Elephas maximus indicus: one gene and its partner. The protein of the gene in region 2 interacts with the protein of the main gene of each other region in a pairwise test. Links are inferred from orthologs where the notes say so. Each region holds a gene or a part of one and is shown on either strand. Other genes may lie near its edges.

What was found.
Region 1: the proteins of PSTPIP1 (region 2) and protocadherin beta-14 interact in binary tests that used the Homo sapiens proteins (3 or more experiments, as listed by UniProt). The two-hybrid records come from large-scale screens. The link is inferred for Elephas maximus indicus from reciprocal best matches to the Homo sapiens genes PSTPIP1 and PCDHB14.

Annotation. Positions count from the first base shown.
Region 1 is NC_064820.1:154,542,303-154,550,893, reverse strand, and holds the start of protocadherin beta-14, read right to left. Parts: upstream 3,531-8,591; 5' UTR 1-3,530. Other genes in the region: protocadherin beta-12-like, read right to left, coding at 7,608-8,591. UniProt on the Homo sapiens protein: Potential calcium-dependent cell-adhesion protein. May be involved in the establishment and maintenance of specific neuronal connections in the brain.
Region 2 is NC_064831.1:66,555,934-66,563,847, forward strand, and holds the start of PSTPIP1 (proline-serine-threonine phosphatase-interacting protein 1), read right to left. Parts: upstream 3,706-7,914; 5' UTR 3,249-3,705; coding exon 3,213-3,248; intron 1-3,212. UniProt on the Homo sapiens protein: Involved in regulation of the actin cytoskeleton. May regulate WAS actin-bundling activity. Bridges the interaction between ABL1 and PTPN18 leading to ABL1 dephosphorylation.

The sequences.
Region 1 (8,591 bases), on a different chromosome or scaffold from region 2:
CTGATTTTTCTATATGAACCCCCTGGAAGGTATACAACCCTCCAGCGGCTCTGTAGGTGAAGCTCCTTTAACGCCTCTCTTTTCAGTGGACCGGATGATCTCTGTTCTCCTGAATGACGAAGCCCACAGAGTCATCCCGTGCATCGTTTTTCATCTTATCCTGCAGCGCCACCATGCGTCTCCGAAATTTTTTCATTAAAATTTTTTGTGTCTTTGAACAAGCAATTCATGAACACATCTGGAATATTTTAAAGCAGATCCTAGACATCATACATTGTTTCCTCCGAATATTTCAGTATCTCTAATAGATAAGAACTTTTAAAATATAGCCACAATACCACTGTCACAACCAACAAACTTAGCAATAATTCCTTAATATAATTTAAACTTAGTCTGTTTGTTTTCCTCCAGTTTTCTCCACAATTTATTTTATTGTTGTTTGTTTGCTTTTAATCAGGATCCAAGCAAGGTGTGTACACAGCATTTTAATTGCCACTTTTTTGAAGGCCTGGCAAGAAGGATCCATTAATGTCTTTGGGTGAAGAAATAATATTTTTTTCAGGCCATTTCTTGAGTAATTACAAATATATTCTCTACTCCATTCTTGTAAATACTTGAGTTCAGCCATTTATAGTTAGTAATGTCATTACTTTTATCACATTGCTATTTTAAAAAATACGTGCGTGTAGTTGGGAAAATCAAACATCACAAAATGGTACACAGTTAAGTATAAGTCTCTTTCCCTCACTTAAGGTCCAGTCTACATTCTCAGAGGCAATGCCAATTTCTTGTATTTCTTCCGTAGATGTCCATGTACCTACTAGCATATATATCAGTAAAGTCATTTCATCAAATTAAATCCCGATTATACATTTATTTGTGGTATATGTAAAGAACTATAAAACATGGTCCACATTCTTTAAAAAGCTTTAACACTTAAAAGGAAAAAATATAAAACAAGTAGTAAATAGCTGATAATGTAGCAAGACTAGTTTCATGGGCAGTGAATACACAGAAAATGGGCATGGGCACCCAAGTATGCCTATATTTTTCTCACTCCTGACAAGTGTACACACAGCAAGTGAAATTTGGATTGGCCTTAAGCAGCGTACATATATGAATTGTTGCTCAGGGGTAGAGAACATTTCAAGCATGAAGCAGAGCATGACATCACTGAAGATATACAGAGACGATATCCCTGACAGGGAGGTAGAAAGAAGTAAGAAATGGACAGTACTATAATATGAAATAAGATCATAAGAGCATTTAGTTTCCATTTCTGAAAATTTGTGAAATTATTGCTTATGCACAGAAATATTTTTCTTGCTAAACTTAGTTGAGTCGATCTTCAAAATAGAGTTTATACTTGAGTAAAACAAAAGGAATAATTTTAAATACCTTTATTTATGCTTCCATTAAGCAAGTATTCAAATGCTTTCTCAGTTTTCAGGCACAACACTAGGCTCTAAGGACATGACATGAATAAGATATAGCCCTTGTCTTGATGGAGCTCACAGGCCACAAATATTGGCAGACAGATAATTAAAATATGTCATAGTGCATGCATGGGCAATGTGAAATACTCAAAAAGAACAGCTTGTGCCTGCGAGACAGCATATCATAGTGGTTAAGAACATAGACTCTGGAACCAAGATGTCTGCATCAGAATCCTGGCTCTGCTGCTCACTAGCTATAGACTTGAACAAGTTACCTAGCCTCTATGTGCCTCTGTTTCCTTACCTGCAAAATAGGGTTGATGATAGCATTTACCTCCTAGGATTATCACTGTAGGAACCTAATGAGTTAATATTTATTAAGTGGTTAGCAAGTGCTAGGTAAGTATCTGTCAACAACTAAAATAAATAAAACCTAACCCAGACTTGGGTCATCAGGGAAAGCTTTCCTGAGGTAGTGAACTATAAGTTGTGATCTGAGGGAGCTAGCCAGGAGAGGGAGGGATGTTTCTCACAGGCGTTTTCAGTATGTCTTGAACCTTGAACCATGGAAGAGGAGAATTTATACTTGTGATTAGGGGTAAAAGCAGGGCTAGAACATGAATAATTACATAAGTCGTATCATGCATGTTTTAATTTATCCTAAGGCATTTAAAATACAATACAGCACTTAAGAAATGATTAACATGCTCACATCTGCCTCTCTGAAATATCTGCCTTGCTGCAATATGGAGAATTAATTTCAGGGAGTGAGACTGGAACCAGAGAGACCAGTTAGGAGACGATGGTGGCCTGTACCAGGGTAATGCCAGTGTGGGTGGAGAGAAGAGGGAAGATTAGAAATGTATTTAGGATATGAAATATGTAGGACCTGGTGATTGATAGGTGGCATGGGGACAAAAAGAGGAAAGACTCAAGGCTGATTACTACCACACTTCTGGATTGGCAATTGGGTGGCTAGTAGTATCATTCACTAAAACTGGGAATGCTGAAAAATAAAGCAAGTTGAGGTGGAAGAAGATTATGTGTTCAGTTTTGGACATGCCGATACTGACTTTGATGCTTGTAGAATATACACCCCCCTGTGGGGAATGTGTGTGTGTGTGTGTGTAAGTAAAGCATAGGAAGTAAACCTAGGCTGGAGATAAGGACTTTGGACTTTGGGATTTATCGGGATATATATGGTGATTAAAACTGTAAGAGCACGAAGATAACCAAGCGAAAGTGTGTCAAGTAAGAATAGAAGAGGGCTTAGGACAGAACTCTGAGAAAATACCTTCATTTAGAGGAGAGAGAGTAAGAAGTGTGTTTGAAAAGACAGAGGGAAGGTCCCGAGTTCAATATTGTGAAACTTAAGCAAATAAAATTGCAAGGAGATGAGGAAACTCAATATTATCAAATGCTTCAGAAAAGTCAGAATTAAAATTGTCCATTGAATTTAAGAAGACAATCATTGTGGAAGATTCTGATGAATGTCTACCAAAATCTCTTTTGCGTTTCTTCTATAGTAATAGAAGTGTACCCAACACGTGGCTACTCAGATGGCCTGCCTGTCTCAGCCTTCTTTGTAGCTGGGGGTAGCCAAGTGAATTAAGCTCTCACAGACAGGCTGTGAGCAGAATTTTGGTTTGGCAATTTTCAGTCTGGAATGGAAGACATCTTGGTGTACCACCTCTTTTCCAATCAGCCAGACCCTTAGTGTGGCATTGACCCAGCTACGGCCATGCAGACTATGACGTTGCCATAAATAATGTTGGAACAAGTACTGGGAGCAAAATTTGGTCCAAAAAGACTGTGAGGAGCAAAACTGCTCTATCTACCTAATCATTTACGTTTGAACTGTTACATGAAAGAGATACACCTTCTACAAGCCTCTGTACTCTTTGTTTCAGCAGCGTAACCTTACTTAACTTATACAGAAATCTTTGATGACCTTTACAATGGGAGTTTCAGTAGAGTGGTTGTGATGAAAATTAGATTGTGCTTGACTGAAAAGTGATGAGGGAGGGAAAATGAGGATAGACAACTCTTTCAAGAAATTTGGTTGTAAAAAAGTAAATAGATCTGTATCTGGAGGAAAATTTAGACTCTTGAGTTTTTTTTTTTTTTTAAGATTAGAGAGACTTAACATATATAAAATGTCCATGTCTGGTGTTCTGTAGAGAGGGGAGTATTTAAGATACAGAAGAAAGGAGATAATCAACGTGAAGCCCCCAGAAGATGGTTAAAGATGAGATCGAGATAATGTATGAAGGAATTGCACTTAGATAGGTGGAAGGGACCTTAGCAGGGGGAAGAAGAGATACAGATGTTGTCAAAGCTGTAGTTTGGGGGTCAGAAAACTGAGAGAATTCTCATCTGATGGATTCTATTTTCTCTGTAACGTTTTAGGCAGGTTCATCTGTAAAAGGGAATATGTAAGTGGTAGGGTGAGAAATTTAAGTTAAATACATTTGAAATATTTGTTATGAAGAATAGAAGAGAAAGCATCATTAGGAAAATATAAAAGAGTTTCTTGTTGCTGAAAGTCTAAGTTTGATGTGAAAAATTTATCATACCAGCAGTATTGATAATTTTGTAATTTTCTCTTATAAAGTGTAATGTCCCAAGGGTAAGATGGGAGAATGCAGACAATTACATTCATTGGGATAGAGTTTCACCATATGGGACAACTAAACAAGACAATTGAGAATATGGGTGAGAGAGAGATTGGGAAGGATAAGCCTGGGTATCAGTAAAATATAAAGGAAATTGGAACAAGAAAGGAGTTGGGTAGGTAGTAGCAGCATCCTGGAATGGAAATCCTGATAAGGTCAAAGACAAGATGCAATGAAAGTAGAAGATGAAAGAGTTAAAAGGATAGAAAATTGTGTTCTTAGAGGAAGTTATCTGAAATTATTATTTCACAGAAGGATCGATTCTGGGTGGTGAAAAGCATAGCATGTATCTATACATTCATTAATGATTGAACTGGAGTAGAGGTGAAGACCTTGGGACTGGGAGAACGTGTTGTTATATTAAACGGTGGGGCCAGAAGTGGTGGTACGACTTGAAGTGGAAAGGAAGATGAGAAGAAGGATGTGTTCGTAAGCTAAAATATACTTAAGTGCTTTCTTTCCCATACTCTTGGCTAATTCCATATTATATCCAGTGGATATAAGACCACTTCCTAAATTTACAGTCTGCTACTTGATTCCTATGAACTGGTTTAAATTTATGTATAAATGACGTATTTGAAGTGAAAGAGCAAAATTTGTTTTTAGCATTATGTTTCAGGACAAGTATTTAGTCACTTGTGCCTGGCATCTGAGCTCCTGGGCCTGGCCACTCTTCATTAGAGTCAGGAAATGCATAGTTCTTTCCATAAATAAAGAAGTCCTGCTGCTCATATATGGGGAAAAAATTGAACAGTAGACGAGTACCTGGTCCTTGCCTCTGTTTTTGTACCTGTTAGATTCTCCATCTGCCATCTGAATAGCTCTGTCCTCCTGCCCCATTATAGATGAGATAAGGCTCAGCTTACTTGGGACCACAGGCTGCTAGGAGCATGGCACCTTTATTTTTTAAAGTTTTGTTATCTATCATACCATAAAGCCCACCCATTTAAAGTATACAATTAAATGGCTTTTAGAATATTTATAGAGTTGTGCAACTATCACCACAATCTAATTTTAGACCATTTCCATCATCATCCAAAAAAAAGAAACCTTGTACCTGTTAGCAGTCACTGTCCATCCCTCCCCGCCAGCCGTAAGCAACCGCTAAGCTAGTAATCTACTTTCTGTCTCCATAAATTTGTCTACTCTGAACATTTTATATAAATGGGATAATACAATATGTGAACTTTTATGACTGGCTTCTTCCCCTTAGTGTAATGTTTTTGAGGTTCATCTGTGCTGTAGCGTGTATCAGTGCTGCATTCCATTTTATTGCTGAGTAATAACAACTCTCTTGTAGGGAGGTACCACATTGTGTTTATCCACTTGTCAGTTAATGGACGTTTGGGTTATTTCCACTTTTTGGCTATTATGAATAATGCTATTATGAACATTCAGGTGTAAGTTTTTTTGTGTGGACATACATTTTAAATTGTTTTGGGTAGATACGTAGGAGTAGAATTCCTGGGTCACAGGGTAACTCTATGTTTAAAATTTTGAGGAATTGCCAAACTGTTTTCTAATGTGGCTGCACCATTTTACATTCCCACCAGTAATACATTAGGATTCTAATTTCTCCACATCCTCGCCAACAGCTGTTATGGTCTTGTCGGTCTTTTTGATTAGTAATTAATTCTCATGTATGAGAAATGGCTATCTTTATTTTTCACCTTCAGTGTTCTATGTATCTCGTCTGGTATGCTAAGAAGCAATAACCCTGTACAGGGGGTAATCTTTATTGATTAACCAGTATCTTGTGAGTTTTTGTTCTAAAAAAAAAGAAGTTTTCCTTTAGGGGGAAAAATTGCGCTTACTTCCACTTCTGAAAACAGAAAATTAAGATTCAATTAGCCTACATGCACCATAGTTGACTTCTGTTCTCCCCATTTATATTTAATGCAAAGAATAATTAATAGGTCCACACTGGTTTGTTCCACAGTAATGGTTATCTCAGGTATGCTAGAGAAAGGGATTGTACTTCCTGGCGTTATCGATTGACCAATAGACAGCCCCTCTACAGTGCTAAGATAAAGCTTTAAAATATCTTCAAGAGGTGTTTTTCTGCACTGACTCTAGTCTGTTATTAGAAGCAATCACTTTACTCACCCCCATTCATTTCCTCTTTCCTGTGCCTGCTTGCTCTCTCACACACGTCCTTTCTCTCTGTACTCTTACGCGTCTTGTTTAACTGTATTTTCCTTCCGTAACGTGTAGACTTGAGTGACTTTTAAGTGAAATTCATGGGAAATCTCCCCCAGCCATGAAGGCTTTTTCTTCTGTAACTAGTAAGATCATTAAAGGCAAGAGAAGTTGGTTGATGCCTGTGTAGCATGAGATTAAACTGTTTCCCTTACAATGGTTTTAAAAGTTTTTACATGAGAACCCTAAAAGACTATATATTGATACTTCACAATGGTCTCTACATTTGAGTCATTCACTAGTGAATATCATAGTTTTATATCTCTGAGAAAAATGGTTTTCCAACTTTGGATTGCTACCCATTAGCAGGCCTTGAAATCAGTTTAGTGGATCATGACCATATTTGATAATTAGAAAGAATAGAATAGCATAGGCAATTTCAAATTCCATCACAAAAGGCTAAACATTGTTCATAAGACTTCTCTATTATGTCTGTATGTCACATAATATATAAAACAATTTTACTACTGGTTATGGTTTAAAAAGCTTGGAAAACAGTGCCCAGTGTCCAATTCTCACGTTAAATTCTGAGAGAACACAGGCAAAATATTATACACATTAACACACAAGTTCACTTTATGTTACCCAAATTATTGTTTAGATGTCTGCATTCCAGTGGAGTGTCCTAGAGCTTTGTAAAACTGTAATTTCATATCCCAAGAATCTGTGAGTGGTCACAATATTAATACACCTTCATAATTACTTTCCAGGCTGTATAAACAAAAGATACTGAGACACTTGCTTTCCAGCCTTTCTAATTAGATAATTACACTTAGGGTTGTATCACAGGACATGACCATTCAGGTTTGTTTTCAATAGTATTAAATATTTCAAAACATTAATCAAGAAAACGCAGTGGACCTAAAGAAAGAAAAATGACATTTCTAAACAGCAACCAATATTAAACTACAAGAAAAACCACAAAAAAGAATCAAATGAAGAAATGCTTGAACACTTGAATTACTTCCAAAGTGGTCAGTTTTATTTTACAATAAGCATAATTTGGGATCAAAGTTCAACTGGGGTGGGGGTTGGGGACACAGAAAGAAAGTGATTTGGTGTTGTAATTTAGGGAGGCAAATTAATTATAAATTAGATCTCCTGGGTTAGAGAGTAAATTACAATCTCATTACAACTACTAATAAAGATAAACTTTCATTTAAAAGCAAAATTCAGGAGAATATGAGAAAATATTAATATCAGTTCAATTTAAAGTACACACAAATTGGGGAAAATAAACATTGGTTTGGAAGAGCCATAAAACAATATGCACATGGAATATAAAAGTCAATCATGGTCACTGAATACTGAACCCAAAGCTATTGAGAAAGGAAGGATTTTCCTCTATTTCTTTTCCAGGGCCCTGGGGCGGAAAGTTGGGGATAATCGGCTTCAAGAACTTGAACTCATTGGTCCCGGAGCCTCCAGTCAGAAACGCCTCATAGAGGTACCTCTGAGACAAAGTCCCGGTACCGCTAACGTCAACCAAGTGGCTCGGAAAGTGGCCCTCAGGCACCGAACGGCGATCCACCGAGGCGGCCCTGTTCCTCCTGCACAGCCACACAGCGATGAACGAGAGCAAGGAGAACAGGAAGAGCGACGAGACCGACGCCAACGCAATGACCAAGTAGACGGTGAGCGAGTCGGCTTGAGCCTCATCCAGGGCCACCTCTGGCAGCGGCAGGTAGGGCTGCGAGAACCCATCCACCAGGAGCACGTGCAGCGTGACGCTGGTCGACCTCGGTGGCTCGCCATTGTCCTTGACCAGCACGATGAGTCTGTGCTTGACCCCGTCGCGCTCGCTCAGCAGCCTGGCTGTGCGCACCTCGCCATTGTGCGCCCACACGCTGAACAGTCCGGGCTCAGTGGCCTTGAGCAGCTGGTAGGACAGCCAGGCGTTCTGGCCCGAGTCGCTGTCCATCGCCACCACCTTGGTCACCAGGTAGCCCGCCTCGGCAGCCCTGGGCACCAACTCAGTGCAGGGCGCAGAGTCGTTCTGCAGCGGGTAGAGCACGAAGGGCGAGTTGTCGTTTTCGTCCATGACCTCCACGCGCACCAGCGCCTCGCTGCTCAGCGCGGGGGAGCCTGCATCTGTCGCGCCCACGCGGAACTCGAAGGCTCGCAGGGCTTCGTAATCCAGCGACCTGAGAGCGAAGAGGTGCCCGTTGTCCACATTGATGGAGACCAAGGAGGCGAGGGGGAGGTGCGGGTCCTGGGGCGGCAGCAGTGAGTAGGTGACTTGGGCGTTGGAGCCTGAGTCTCTGTCTGTGGCGCTGACGCT
Region 2 (7,914 bases):
TCCCTCCCTGCCCAGGGTATACTGCGAGCTAGTGCCAGAGTAGGGCTTGTTCTCACTTGTGTTCTGGATGGGTGAGGTGGCTAGGTAACTGAAGACTGTAGTATTAGACAAGATCCTTCCAGTTTAGGGGTTTCCTTCCACTTTTGAAAGACTGGAGCCCTGGTGGCGCAGTGGTTAAGAGCTACCAAAAGGTCAGCACTTCAAATCTACCAGCTGCTCCTTGGAAACCCTATGGGGCAGTTCTATTCGGTCATGTAGGGTTGTTATGAGACCAACTCCTGGGCAATGGGTTTACTTAAAGACTAGTGGTTTTCAGACAGTGCGCTGCTGCCAGGCTGGGTGTAGTGGGAAAGTGGGGGTGGGGGTGGGGACAAACAGACCAGGTCTGTCCCTAAAATGCCCACTTCAGTCAGAGCTGTGTGTTTTTGTCTGTTTTGCAGATTCGTCTATAAATTGACCCTCTTACCCCTCTGGGAAGTAGAAAGAACAGAATTTTCCCCATCATTTCACGAATGTAGACTCAGAGGCCCAAAGATCCAGTGATCAGCTGAATGAATAAAGAAAAAATGTAGCACAACCAGCCTGTTGCCTTAACCCCAGCTATGTGACCTTGGGCAAGTTGCTTAAATTCACTGTGTCTCTATTTCTTCATCTGAACAACAGGGATGACAATAGCATCTACTTCCTGGGTTGCTGTGAGGATTGTTTTTAGCTCCCATAGAGTCAGCCCTTGACTCATGGCAACCCAATGCACTATGGAACGAAACACTGTCCAGTCCTTCAACAGCCCCATAATTACCAAGGGACAGATTACCCAACAAACAAGGTATGCACGGGCTTGCTTGTGCTTACTCGCCAATCTGTAGTGCACAATTTCACCTCTTTTTCACCAGATCTTTGCTGTGGTGAAGCCTATGTGAAATTGTGCACTGGAGATTAGTAAGTAAACACAAGTAAGCCTGTGTGTACCTTGCTTATTGGGTAATCTATCCCCTGGTTTCAGACCAGATAGTTGTGATCAATAGGGCTTTCATTGGCTTATTTTTGGAAGTAGCTTGCCAGGCCTTTCTTCCTAGTTCATCTTAGTTTGGACTTAGTTTGGAAGCTCCTCTGAAACCTGTTCAGCATCATAGCAGCACACAAGGCTCCACTGACAGACGGTTCATTGTACTTGAGGTTCATTGGCCAGGATTTGAACCCCGGTCTCCCAATGGAAGGTGAGAATCCTACTGCTAAAGCACCACTGCCTGGCCGTGCAGGTTAGATGAATTAATACATACACAGGCCTGAGAACAGCGCCTGACACATCGTTGGTGCTCAGTGAATGTTAGTTGTCGTCATGGCTGGGCTGGGCTGAACATCACCAGGGCTGTTAGAATTCAGAGCTCTTGGGGCAAGTGATACTGACAGTGACTTTGGGGCGTCTGCCCAGGCTGAATCTGAGAGGCTCTTGCTGGCCTCTTCTCTCCCCTTCTCCGTCTGGCCTTCCCTGGGAAAGCTTCAGCCTCACCCAGCCCAGGGAGCAGCCATGGAGGAGAGAGGTACCTGGAGGCCACGAGGTACACAGCCACTCGGACATGGGGTAAGCACTCAGCATGGATGGGATGCCACTGCTCAGGAGGAACCCACCGCTGATGGGCTGGGTTCTCGCCACTGCTGCTGCTTTTGCTTCTGCTGCTGCCACACCCTGTTTCTTTAAGTCCCCTCCCCCTCCTTCCTCCCACCCAGATCCTGTCATGGGGGCTGCTCCTTGCCTCAGTTCTATCCCAGGGAAGATGAGCCCAGGGTCTCTGGGCAGGGACAGAACAGTGAGGGTCTCCTAGCCTGGCCTGGGCTGGCGGCCTGCATTTCCAGGCTCTACCCCTTCCCCTAACTTTAGACTCCAAGTCAGGGCAATGACGTGGTGACTCTCTGCCCCCACCCCCAGCCCCCAACTTGGGGCTCCAGCTGCCAGTCCAGCAGAGAACACCCTGGTGTTCAAAATGAGCCCAACCAGCTCCTCTGGGCTGGTCCCAGCCCCTCTTTGTGAAGAAGGGGCAACAGAGGCCCCGAGAGGGGCAGAGTGCCCTCCTCAGCCTAAGCTTTTGCCCACTGTGCAGTTAACGAAGGTGGGATCAGGCCACTTACACAATGGCCACCGGCCCTGAGCAGAGTGTGGTCCAAAAGAGAAGGAAGGCAGGCCTGGCTCATTATTAGCTCTCATCTCTCTGGCTCCTGGCCCCAAGAAAGGACCTGGGGAGGGCCAGGCTGTTGGCTGGGGCTGAGCCTGCTGAACACAACAAGACCAGAGAGCCCTCTGCAGGGTTGGAAGGAGCACCCTGGGGACAGCCAGGCTTAAGGAGCAGAGGGGATGGTTAAAGGACAGCTGGAAAAAAGCTGAGGGGATCTGTGATCCAAACTGGGCTTACTAGCCCTGTGACCTGGGCCAAGCCATTTTACCTCCATGAGCCAGCCAGCTATTTCCCAGGGAGGGAAGGAGGACTCTTCAGGCCTGTGCTGGATTTAATACTGCGAGCAAGGAATTGCCCAGCCCATCCTGCTACCTTGAAAGACCCCCAAGGTCTCCAAACGAAAAGGTGTTGGGTGAGGGAAGGAGAATTACCATTTGGTGTGCCAGCAACATTCTGGGGGCATTATTACATTAGTTCACCTTGTTTAATCCTCCCGTTCATTTGATATATTTATTATTATTATCTATCTTCACTAAAAAAAAAAAAAAAAATTTTTTTTTTTCAATCTTCACTGTATAGATGGGGAAGGTGGGGCTCAGACACCTACAATTGCAGAGCCAAGGTATGAACCAAGTTTTTCTGGTGCCCGAACCTGACACCCTCTCCTCCACCCCACATGGCCTCCTCAAGCCCCCACCTGCATGCTAAAAAAAAAAAAAACGCATGCTAGACTCTCCTAAAAAGGTCCTGCTGTGGGGGAGGGGTCTCTCAGAGGAAAAACCAGTCCTGGAAGTGCAGAGGACATCCCTTGCCCATGGTGGTGAAGTTGCAGGGAAGTCAGTACCCCCTTCGCCTTCCAGCTCAGAAGGGAAAGTAGCCTAGACCACCTCCATGACAAAGTTGTATATCAATCACTACTTTTATGAGACAGCCTGCATCTGGGAGCTATATCCCCCTCCAACTTCCATGGAAAATTTCAGCTTCCCCAGAGCCTATTCCACTCTCTCAATGCCCTCCCCCGCGCCCCCAGCCTTCACTCACCCAAAAGGCATCTCTGAAGTGCAGCTGGGGCATCATCCTTGGGCTCTACTGTGGCAAATCAAGCTCTCCTGCCCCAGGCAGGGCCGTCTGAGGGCCAAGAGCAAGGAGCACTGTCCAGTGCCCAGTGTCGGCAGGGCTGGCCCAAGCCCCTCTCCCCGGCTGTCACCGTCTGCAGCAGCTCAGAAGGCAGCTGCAAGCCAGAACTGCTGAAGGGAGGGAAAGGGCTCAACCTGTTTTGTTTGGGGCTAGAATCCGCAGCAAAATGAGGAAGGAGCAATGCCCAGTGATGAGAGGGCGGGCCCCGGTGTCCGGCCCAGCCCCTCTCCAGCCCAGCGGGTGATAGAGAACACAGCCCAGTTCCAGGGCAGGGAGAGGAGATGCCAGCCCCAGGCAGGAGGCAGCGGCTCTTGAGAGAGGCAGGCTGGGACTCAGGCCAGGGAGGCAGGCAGCCTGAGGCCTGCACAGGAAGGTTTGTGCAACCTCCCCTGGGGCAGGCACTAGGGCCTTCATTCACAGGAAGTGGAGCCGCTGTGCTCTTCTATGCAGCCCTGCCTGCCACCTGCCACTCTCCCTGCTTGCCTCTGCTTGCCCTTTAGTGGCGGCCCCCTGCTGGGGTGTCTCAACCTGAGAAGGGGCAGGGACATTCTCAGAAGCCATACATTTAGGGAGCTTGTTGTTGTTGTTAGGTGCCATTGAATCAATTTTTAACTCATAGTAAACCCAAGTGACAGAGTAGAGCTGCCCCAGAGGGTTTTCTAATCTTTACAGGGGCAGATTGCCAGGTCTTTCTCCCGAGGAGCCTCTGGGTGAATTCAAACTGCGAATCTTTTGGTTAGCAGCTGAGTGCTTAACCATTGCTCCACCAGGACTCCTTTTAGAGCTTGGGGCCCACTAAAGGCGTGGGCAAGAAGAGCCCAGGAACTTCAGGTTCTGTCTCCCACCAGTCCAGCCAGATCCACTCCCTGCCAGGCCAGCACAAAAATGCTAGACTCTTTACTCCTCAGCAGGAATCTATTCAGGAGGGTGTCATCTAGGCCTGGACATCTATCCTTCATCAAACTTTGCTCTGTGCCCCAGACCAGGTCCTGCCCTCAAGGAGCTCACATTCTCAGGGCAGACACAGCTGTACTCTGGGGGGCTGTAGGAACATAGAGGTGGGGATGAGTGGGCATCTAGCCAAGGAAGAACAGCCTGCGACCTCACAGGCACTGCCCCCAAGTCTCCAGATTAGACACTGTGGGCCAGGGAGGCCCACTCTGGAGGTGGAGCCTTAAGGCTTCGTGAACATGGTTGAACTGAGAGAGAGACGGAGGCGGGAGTTTGAAAACTGAGGTTGAGGCTCCGGGTTTTGTTTGGCTTGGGCACTACACACTTCAGTGGCTGAGGGACTTCAATAAACCCTCCAACTCTCTGAGTCTCAGTTTCCCCATCTGCCACCCCCAGCCTTTGGAAAGGGGATGGCATTGAGAACACTTGTGGAATTTCTGGTTCGGTTGGGCAGGTGTTGGAGGCACTGTCTGGTACCACCTTGGAAAGAGCCCTGGGCTAGAGCCCTGAGGAGCCAGGTGCCCACTCAGCAGAAGATGCCAGCAGGGCAGCCTGGCAAAAAGGGATGAGTCAGGGACCATCCACAAATCACTACCTTGCTGGTATCTCCCTTACAATTGGCGGGAATGATAAGATAGATGAGAGCTGAAGCAGAAGCAGGCTCGCCAAGCTCCCAAGTGCCAGTTATGCGTGCCTGGGGTTTAGGGAGATGGGCCCACCCAGGCTTCTGAAACAGCCACCGGGGAGAGAACACATGATTCCTCAAGTGTTTTTCTGAACATAAGTAATTTTAATTCAAAGAGAGAGAGAGAAGACGTGGGGGAGAATTGCAGAGCAGGGGGGCTGGCGCTGCTGCACTGCTCCTAGAAGCCCCCCGCCGCCCCACCTCCAGACTCCTTCTGGTTTGAGCTAATGAAAGAAAGTCTTTAGCGGTGAAGGCTCCTCAAGTCAGGTTTTCTGTTGCTTTCAGCTGAAGACAGCTAATGGGGCAAAATATCACCTTAAACCCCCAAGGCTATATACTATGGCTGTATTTCTCAATCCAGTGGTTTCACCACCTCTAACATCACTGACTCAGCCCAGTGGCAACATTAGGGGGGCCCAGGTGGCATGGACCACACCCAGTGACACTGTCAGAGGAGGTGACACCAAAATAACTGTTTATAAAATTTTTGTGCTGCGTCTCAACAGAAATTTGTTATTTTTTATAACAATATCCCTGTAGTTAGCTATAACAGCAAAAACATTTTTTGTAAGCCCAGCTTACATGTATCAATATACCTACAAGGCTAAAGCTCTATGCTAATTATTCACTTTTTGAACCTTCTAATGTCTTTTGGTCAGAGCGGTCATTATTACCCAATTACAATGATCCTTCGAGTCACATGGTTTCATCTGCACATGCTACAAGCACGTGCTGGTTTTTTCATTGCTGCTGGTATTTTTCTAGTTGCTGATTTGGCCAAATTTCCTGGTGTTTTAGCTACAACATTGTTGTAATTAGCATCTGTAAACCTGTATCGTAACTTTTTTTGAAAATGAAGTAGTAATTAAAGGAAAAGGAGTGATATACAAGAATTATGATTTACTAGGAGCATTAGTACAAAAAACGTTACTAGGGATTTTGTATGGTCTGGCACAGGAAGAAATCCATGGCGGTGGGGGTGGGTATTACACCATGAGTTACTGCACTGGGTGACACTAACTCTGTGAAGCCACTGACTCAGCATCCCTGGGCTCAGTGTTTCCATCTGTCAAATGGGGTGATGTCTCTAGTTCTGGAAGCAGACTAGAGCCCTTTTGTACCCTCTTATTGGCAGAAAACTTGACTACCAGGCTCCCTTCCATGACTCTCCAGGTGTTGCTCCCTTAACCTTTTATGACAAATTTCTACTCCAAACAGGCTTCCTCCCTCTCACCAAAACCCCCTTCCCACTCCTACCTCCAAAATGTTGCTGCATTTTTTGTGCCTCCCTTCTGGCATGCCTTCCTTGAACTTCTTTACCTGGACAAGTTCTCCCCTCTCTCAAGCCCAGCTCAAGTCTACCACACAGGAGGTCTTCCTTTCCCAATTGCTCTGGTCCACCCAGGGCAGCCCTGGGCAGATGGCCATGCTGGCTGTGGGCTGGAGAAATTGGGGAAGGAAGTGATGGGAGGAACTCCAAAGTTCTCTGCTAAAAGGAAGTCTTCCTCCTTCCCTCCCCCCACACCCTTCTGCTGGTCCCAAGGCTTTGTGACTAGAACAGCTAATTCCAGCTTTGGAGTGCATCATTAAGCTTTTCACACACCCTCACCCGCTTCTATGGGATACATACTATTATTATTCTCATTTTACAGGTGAGAAAACTAGTCATTAAAGAGTCTATGTGGAACTCTTATGCACTGCTAGTGGGAATGTAAAATGATATAACCACTATGGAAAACAATATGGTGCCTCCTTAAAAAGTTAGAAATAGAAATACCGTATGATCCAGCAATCCCATTACTAGGAATATATCCTAAAGAAATAAGAGCCATCACACAATTAGACATATGCACACCCCCATGTTCATTGCAACATTATTCACAATAGCAAAAAAATGGAAACAACCTAAGTGTCCTTCAACAGTTGAATGGATAAACAAACTATGGTGCATATACAATAGAATACTATGCAACGATAAAGAACAGTGATGAATCTGCAAAACATTTCATAACGTGGATGAATCTGGAGGGCATTATGTTGAGTGAAATAAGTAAATCACAAAAGGACAAATAGTGTATGAGACCACTATTATAAAACTCAAAGAAAGGTTTACACGCAGAAAAAAACAAACTTTGATGGTTACGAGGGAGAGAAAGGGTAGGGAGGGGAAATTGCTAACTAGATAGTAGACAAGAGTCAACTTTGATAAAGGGAAAGACAATACACAATATAGGGAAAGTCAATACAGCTTGACTAAGGCAAAGTCCTAGAAGCTCCCTAGACACATCCAAACACATTGAGAGACTGAGTTACTGGGGCTGAGGGCCGGGGGCCACGGTCTCAGGGGATATCTGGATCAATTGACATAACATAGTTCATAAAGAAAATGCTCTACATCCTACTTTGGTGAGTAGCATCTGGGGTCTTAAAAACTTGTGAGCGACCATCTAAGATACATCCATTGATCCCATCCCATTTGGAGCAAAGGAGAATGAAGAAAACCAAAGACGCAAGTGTTACGGATTGAATTGTGTCCCCCCAAAATTGTGTCAGCTTGACTAGGCCATGATTCCCAGTATTGTGTGATTGTCCACTGTTTTGTCATCTGATGTGATTTTCCTGTGTGTTGTAAATCCCACCTCTACGATGTTAATGAGGCAGTACTCAATCTACAAGATTACGTTGTATCTTAAGCCAATCTCTTTTGAGGTATAAAAGAGAGAAGCGAGGAGAGAGACATGGGGACCTGATACCACCAAGAAAGTAGTGCCAGGAGCAAAGTGCGTATTTTGGACCCAGGGTTCCTGCACTGAGAAGCTCCTTGACCAGAGAAGATGGATGACAAGGACCTTCCCCCACAGAAAGAGAAGGCCATTCCCTGGAGCTGGCACCCTGAACTCGAATTTTTAGCCTCCTAGACTGTGAGAGAATAAATTTGTCTTTGTTAAAGACACCCACTTGTGGTATTTC